2 linked regions of the Pelodiscus sinensis genome follow. Each later gene encodes a partner of the first gene's protein in a complex. Links are inferred from orthologs where the notes say so. Each region holds a gene or a part of one and is shown in the gene's direction. Other genes may lie near its edges.

Region 1 (3,745 bases):
ATCTTGCGTCTTTCTTTCAGAGACACTTGGGGCAGAGGCTGTGTCTCCCCATGTCTGTAGCGTATTATTGGCACCGACAGGATGCAAAAAGAGTCATAACAGAGGACACTATTAGAGGAGAGGCGAAGACTTCATTTGGTTTTAAGAATAAATTTCACTCCCTTCCAAGTTACAGCTACGCAGACAAGTAATAACATTCTCCTGGAACATAAAAATAAGCAACTGAATTCACGTCCTCACAGGGAATTCTATTTCACATTGTACTGATCAGATGCACTGTCAGTCTCTCCCCTTGCTGGGCCACACAGCCTGTTGGGAGCTCACTCTACACCCTCTTGGCATGGTGCTGCCAAAGACGAGAGAAAGAAAGCGCAGGCAGGTGAATAAACGTCTAATGAGGAGGACTCACCCAAGCACAGGATCTGCATGGTCTGGGCAGCTTGCAGTCGCAGGAGTACCTGTGCCCCCTAAACTTCCTGTCGAGTAAATGGAAACAAGTGGGCTTGGCTATGCAGAAAACGAAAGCGAGCGCTTCATCAAACCCCGCTCCCCAACATGACGCACTAGCTGGGACCCTGACTGCGGCACCGCCTGAGCACAGGGACAGGCCCAAGGTCATCAGACTGCCAGAAGGAACGGACTGGACTGGAGCGTGTCACCCTAGGGCAGTGGGGGGTTGCCGGGCTGGGGGGGCGGCCGTGCCCGGGCCACGTGCCGGGTGGCGGGGCCGCCCACGCGCCATGGTCCAGGAGCCAGCACCGCACACGCCGTGGGCAGGGCCGCCCACACCATTCCACGGGGACACAAACACCCACGGGCGCCACGCTGGGGACCACGGCCCAGGGCCCTGCCAGGGCAGCCTCCCTCCTCCCACGCTGGGGCAGCCATTGCCCCCCCCCGCGGCTCTGCCCCTTGGGGCCTGAGACAAGACGCAGGCGCGGAGCGGGGGGGGAAGGGCCGGGCCGGGCCCCCCCAGGCAGGGCCCCCCCCACGGCGGCTGAGGCCGGGCCGGGGCCCCCAGGCAGGGCCCCCCCCACGGCGGCTGAGGCCGGGCCGGGCCCCCCCAGGCAGGGCCCCCCCCACGGCGGCTGAGGCCGGGCCGGGCCCCCCCAGGCAGGGCCCCCCCCACGGCGGCTGAGGCCGGGCCGGGCCCCCCCCGGCAGGGCCCCCCCCACGGCGGCTGAGGCCGGGCCGGGCCCCCCCCAGGCCGGGCCCCCCCCACGGCGGCTGAGGCCGGGCCGGGCCCTCGTGCAGGGTCTGGGGCCACGGGGCGGCCCGGGGCTCAGGCAGCCGCAGGGGCACGTGGGAGCGCGCGGCCCCCGGGGGCGGGCCAGCGGGGTGTGGCTCGGGCGGGGGGGGGGGGGGGGGCACGTCGCGGCGGCAGCGCGCGGCTCCGGCCCGGCGCGTGCCCGTGGGGAGGAGCCCGCCCCGCCCCTCGCAGAACAAGATGGCGGCCGGTTGCCATAGCAGCCGTCGCGCTTCCTCCTGGAGCGGCGTCGCAGGCGTGATGACGTCAGGCCCGTTCGGCTGCTTCCGGGTGCGGCGGGCCGGGGGCGCTGCGGGATCCGCGATGGGGGCGGCCCGGGACCCGGAGCAGCAGGCGCCGGGGGAAGGGGGCCTCGAGGAGGGGGATGGGCAGCCGGTGAGCGCGGGCGGAGGGGCCGCCTGGCGAGCCCCGGGGGGTGGCGGGGGGGGGTTGCCTGGCGAGCCCCCAGGGGGTGGCGGGGGGGGTTGCCTGGCGAGCCCCCCCCCGGGGGGAGGCGGGGGGGGTTGCCTGGCGAGCCCCCCGGGGGAGGCGGGGGGGGTTGCCTGGCGAGCCCCCCGGGGGAGGCGGGGGGGGTTGCCTGGCGAGCCCCCCGGGGGAGGCGGGGGGGGTTGCCTGGCGAGCCCCCCGGGGGAGGCGGGGGGGGTTGCCTGGCGAGCCCTGCGAGCTCACCCTGCCTCTCCTCCCGCAGAGCCCCTGGAACATCATGATCAAGCACCGGCAGGTGCAGCGGCGCGGGCGACGCTCCCAGATGGCCACGAGGTAACAGCTGCCCTGGCCGCGCTCCCAGCAGCACAAGTCTCCTCTGACACCCGCTGTGTGATCCCAGCGGGCAAGGCTCCTGCCAGGGCCATGCCGGGGCCAGAGAAAGGCTCCGTGTGAAGTCTGGTCCTGCCTCTGCCACCCGCTCCCTGGGCCAGCCACAATGTGGGGCGCTCGATCTGTATAGTGGGGCTCGCTACCCACGGAACTGATATTCTTTGGGGCTGGAAATGCTCCCTAGCTGCTAAGGGGTTGAGGCCACACTGTGAGATATCCGGCGTTCTAGGGGCCGTGGCAGGTTGTTTGATCCTGGTGAAGTGGGGGATTCATCAGAATGCTCATACTGGGCCAAGCCAAAGATCTGTCTGCCCAAGTGTCCTGGCTTTCAGCTTGTGGCCAGTGCCAGATGTATCCGAGGCAGTGAACAGAACAGGCCAATGTATCGAGTGATCCATCCCTGTCATCCAGGCCCAGCTTCTGGCAGTTACGAGGGTTAGGATCATCTCGGCTAATAGCCAGAGATCGGCCTGTGCTCTGGGAACCGATCTCGTTCTTTGTTGAACCCAGTTGTGTGTTTACATCACTTGCGTGCAAACCACACTCCTCTCGGGCTGACACTTGGAGCCAGAGGCACTTTGTGTTCTCCTCTGCTGGGAGACTTAGAGTTGGAATCAGTGGGTAATTCCGCTGCTGGCTTTGGAGTGGAAATCAGCTTGCAGCCTGTGTTGTGTCCTTTGCAGACGCCTGTAAACTCTGGCGGACACTCACGTGGGTGAGAGCATTCGGGAGAGCACTGCCGCGTGGGGCTTTGGGGACTGTCTGGGTGGTGTGCTAGGTGTGGCAGGAAAGCCAGGTGGAGTCATTTCTCTCTCATTCAGCTTTACAGACCCTGCTGTCTCCATGGATTTGCTGCGAGCTGTTCTGCAGCCTAGTATTAATGAGGAGATCCAGACTGTCTTCAATAAATACATGAAGGTAAAGCTCACAGGAAGAGGGAAATTTCTTGGACGGACATCATCCTTCCCCTGCCTCTAGCCTGTGCTGGAAGGTGCTGCCACTGTGAAAGCCCTGCCCCATAGGCCAAGTCACATACACAACCCAACCCTGTGAACTGAATAAGAGGGGCAGGTGAAGGCTGCTCTGCCTAACCCTGAAAGGGTCCCACTCCAGGACTCCTGGTCTGAAATCCACAGAACTGTAAAAGTGAGTTCTGCTGGAGGGCACTGAGGGACCAGAGAGCATGGAGTCTTCTCCCAAAGGATATGGAGCTTCCGAATGGGACTACGTCCCGTGTTCTCAGTGCTGACCCTGATGGTATTAGGTTGTGGCATGAGCAGAGGTGGACCCTGGAATTGCCAGACCCTGCTTTTGTCTGTGCAGAGAACAGCCTTGTCCCAAGGAGGCAGCCTTCTGTGGAAAGAGCTGAGAGCAGCCAGCGTCATGCTAACTCTCTCCTTGGGCCCCTTCCCAGTTTTTCCAGAAGGCAGCAGGTAACGTGAGAGAGAACGTCGGGGAGGACGTGGATCCAGAGCAGCTCATCCAGGAAACGTGTCGGAGCTGCCTAGAACAGGTAGGCATGTGCCAGCGCCACACACCTGCTGCCACCGCCCTCTGGGACCAGCCTTGCAAGGAAATACCTGCTGCATGGTCTCCTGGGGGTGCAGAGCATTACAGGCTGGCTTCCCAGGACCTCACAGTGCAAAGAGTCCCTGGAAACAG
Region 2 (3,745 bases), on another chromosome or scaffold:
AGAAAAATCCCCAGGTTTGATCAATTCTGTATTAATCTTTGTGTGGTAGATAGATCCAACCTGGAGGTGGGGAGAAGTAAATGCGAGTGGGGTTAAATAGCAAGTGATCAAAAGTGAAACAGAAAAAAGAATATACAGGAAGGTTTTCATAAAATGTTGCCATCTTCATTCTGAATTGACTTGTTAGTATATTTTTCTTTATGACCCTCTGGGTTTTTCTTCTGATCATTTTAACTCTGTCCAAAACATTGCTTTATATATTTATTCAAGTGTTGCTTGTTGTCAATAACTATTTACTCTTATGCCGTCTACACGGGGAGTGATGATGGAACAAAAATTTTACTTTCTAATGTAAAGTGGAGCAGGGTGAGTGAGTGGAGCAGGTGCAAGCATGCACCTTTTTTCTCTGCCCCGAGAGACTGAAAGTTCCCCCAGCACTTAATGTGAACTATTTCAGAGGTGGGGAACTTTTTTTGGGTCAGGGGCCGCTGACCCACAGGAAAATCAGTCTGGGGCGGCACACAATTGAGAAGGAGAAAGATGGTCCCCTCGCTTTCCTCCCACATCAAAGCCTGGGGGGGGCAGGGGGCAGCCTAGTAGATTTTGTGTGCTCCAGCCCAGTAGTTGGGGTGTTGGAGCACTAGTGCAGACTCCTCAATGCTGGGGGGAGGCCCACAGCCTCCGGGGCCAGATCCAGACAAGCCAGGGGCCGCATCTGGCTCCTCGGCCTGAGGTTCCCCCAGAAAACAAACAGAGGTACATATTCCACTGGGTGAGAGAACAATTTTCTGTAGCAAAAGGAAAATTCTTTTAGAAAGTTTCAAGATGTTTGGTGAAACATCCAGCATTTACTGAAAAGACCTGAAGATTTGTCAAAAACCCTGAACTCTGTGGTTCCCCACTTTCAATCCCATTCCTACTGTATTTACTTCAGGAGGGGCTGGGGGAAAGAACAGGGAAATCTATTCTCACTTGCAAGTTGCTCCCTAAAATCCCATTATAATCTTTTCCCATTAAAAAGAAGTAAATAGATCAGCCTGAACGGGGGACGGCTGAGAACTGGACACGTTATATAACCGAGGAGTTTTGCAAGGTATGACATATACAGAGCGGCATTTCTCAGCGAGGTTTTGCTTCGCAAATCAGTGCGGCAGAACTTCCCCTCCCCTCTTTTCTACACACTAGTAACAAATGCTAAGCTCAGAAGGTCAAACGAAGAGCTTTGAGAAGGGCAGCCTGGCAGGATCACGGCTACTGCCACTCAGAACTAACTGCTCAAGGGTTGGAGGAGAGGAACAAGCGGGTCCCGGACTAGAACTCTAAACTGCAGCTTCTGGGAGAGAAGCAGGAGGAGGAGTTGACTTAAAGGGACTATTGGGAGCCTCCTCCACTTACAGTATGAGGAAGTGACGCTTTTAGTGAGCCCCAGGGGGAAAGGAACAAAGTTTTTGTTTGTTAATTGTTTCATCTGCGTCCCCCCTCCTCGGAGTAGCAGAGCTGGGAACGGAGCTGCCTTTAGCTTCCAAGGTGAGCAAACGAATTCCACTCCCCACCCTCTTTTCTGCAGCAGTTTTTTGTTTATTGATTTGTTTCCGTGTTTGTGGTATTGCTCTTTTTTAAAATCAGTCGGTTGATCTGTGGTTATTTTTTGGAACAAGATTAAGCTAAAAGAACGTAGAGAGGGAGATCTGCATTTAAGTTTCCGTTTATATGGCCTTGACACCCTACCTCCATATCAGTATTGCCAAATGACAGGAGCAGCTGACTTTGCTCTTTTGGGGGCCCACGCACATGCAGGCTGGAGAATAGCAGCAGACGTGCTGTGACACAAGTACCTTTCTTCATGTGAAACACAGCTTTTGTTTCTTCTGTTTGAAAAACGGTAAACATTAAGTGTATTTAAAATAAATTTAAAAAGAAGACCATGCAAAGCCATTCTCTCTCTCTCTCTCGGGGGGGGGGGGGGGAGCGGGAAGCAAAGCTACATCAATGATCTCTATATGTCTTTTTTATCAACTTAAGAAGCTGTCTCTTGCCTATTTTTTCTCCTGTTAAAATTTCCATCTGATCAGTATCTGGATCTCAGTTCAAGATTTTTGAATGTTCCCTGTTTATTAGTCTTTGCTTGAAATGTGTAAAGTGTGAGAAAAGTGCTCATCTTTAAGTTGCCTGTGCATGTAGGAAGGAAGCTAACTGATTTTTAAAAAATACTGTACTGAATTAAACAAAAGGGAGCTCTTGATTTACAAAGATCATAAACATCCGTTTGATAATTAAACAGTTCTGGGGGATGGGGTTTAAAACATATTAAATTGTTTTTGACAATCTTGCATTCTAAGTTTTGCAATTCTTCATCTGACTGTAACTGTAAAGGACTGATAGTTTGCAGTTTACTAATAAAAGCTGACAATACGCCCACGCACATATGTGAATGTCTTATATAATACACGCCCTTTATTCTAATACACTTTAAACAAAGATTTATTTTTGCTTTATAAAGCCTTGCAAGGTTATAAACCTACAGGAATTTTTCCACGTGGCACTTAATAGATTTATTTGGTATTTGTTTTAAAACAACTAGTTAAAAATGTATAATAGACAGGATAATAACTTGATTAAATCCAGGTTTACTGGTTTGTAAGCAGTGCAAAGGTTCTCTGCATCAAGGCGGTATGCAAATAGTAAAGGGAGGGGAAGACTGAGACATGTCCTAATGCAGAGACTGAGATTAGTTGTTTATAGGGTGATACTGCAGTTCATAGCAGCCACAGCTTTATGACAGTGTATAATTACAATGTGATTGCATAGGAAGGCATTGTTGGAACTAATGTGCATACACAGGCTATTGTGCAAGACTTCTGTGTTGAACAAAAAGAGGATTTGCATTGCAAATAATAAAAAGAGAATTTAGCCATTACTAAGCTGCTAAGTTCCTTTTTGCCTTTTGACCTCAAGTCATGATGATCCCTCCCTGAAATGTTATCAAACTCCTCAGAATTAAAAGGAGGGGAAAATGAATTTGTTTGCATTGCCCTTTTCCCCTAAAAATGGGAGAAGGGATGTTTTGTGAAGGAGACACATGCCACTAGTGGAGTCCTAGATTTGATATACTCCACAAAGAAAATATTTATAATCATGTCTGAATTTGTAAAAGATATCAAAAGTTCATTGAATCTGTGGACCTGTCTTTTGACAGTTCAGTGGATACTAAGCAGTCAGTTCTGCTATTAGCTTGGTGGATTTTGTGTAGACTTCTGCTGTGTAATTATGACTCTGGTAAGGTCCTGTCTTATGTACTGGGTAAGGAAAAACAAGTGCATTAAAATTAAAAAGTGGTTGCAATTCAGCTATTCTCTTGTTTGGTGGTGGGAGAGGCAAAGAAGGTAATTTGCATAAGAACATAAAATAATCATGCAGGGTTAGACCAAAGGTCCATCTAGACCAGTATCTTGTTTTCTGACCATGGCCAGTGTCATGTGCCCCAGAGGAAATGAAAAGAACAGATAATCATCAAGTGATCCATTCTCTATCATTCATTCCCAGCTTCTTGCAGAGGCTAGGTACACCAACAAAGCCCAACTTTGCTAATAGCCATTGACAGACTTATCCTACATGAACGTATCTAGTTATTTTTGAACCCTGCAAGTTGACTATGTGTTGTATGAAGAAATATTTCTTAAATATTTGTTTTAAACCTGCTGCCTATTAACTTAATTTGGTGACCCCTAGTTCTTGTCTTATGAGA

Evidence for each region.
Region 2: the proteins of DNTTIP1 (region 1) and MIDEAS are in contact, whole or in part, in a cryo-EM structure (PDB 6Z2J), measured with the Homo sapiens proteins. The link is inferred for Pelodiscus sinensis from reciprocal best matches to the Homo sapiens genes DNTTIP1 and MIDEAS. Residues at the interface, in NP_443183.1 of Homo sapiens: Pro63, Ser66, Leu69, Leu70, Ala72, Val73, Leu74, Pro76, Ser77; in NP_001036783.1 of Homo sapiens: Gln768, Asp771, Leu772, Thr774, Ala775, Ser778, Ser779, Ile802, Leu803, Leu806.

What each region holds. Positions count from the first base shown.
Region 1 is NC_134728.1:13,072-16,816, reverse strand, and holds the start of DNTTIP1 (deoxynucleotidyltransferase terminal-interacting protein 1), read left to right. Parts: upstream 1-1,432; 5' UTR 1,433-1,447; coding exon 1,448-1,642; intron 1,643-1,955; coding exon 1,956-2,026; intron 2,027-2,904; coding exon 2,905-3,001; intron 3,002-3,497; coding exon 3,498-3,596; intron 3,597-3,745. Other genes in the region: uncharacterized protein LOC102461217, read right to left, coding at 410-428. UniProt on the Homo sapiens protein: Increases DNTT terminal deoxynucleotidyltransferase activity (in vitro). Also acts as a transcriptional regulator, binding to the consensus sequence 5'-GNTGCATG-3' following an AT-tract.
Region 2 is NC_134714.1:67,325,718-67,329,462, forward strand, and holds the start of MIDEAS (mitotic deacetylase-associated SANT domain protein), read left to right. Parts: upstream 1-1,197; 5' UTR 1,198-1,527; intron 1,528-1,862; exon of another isoform or gene 1,863-1,882; intron 1,883-3,745.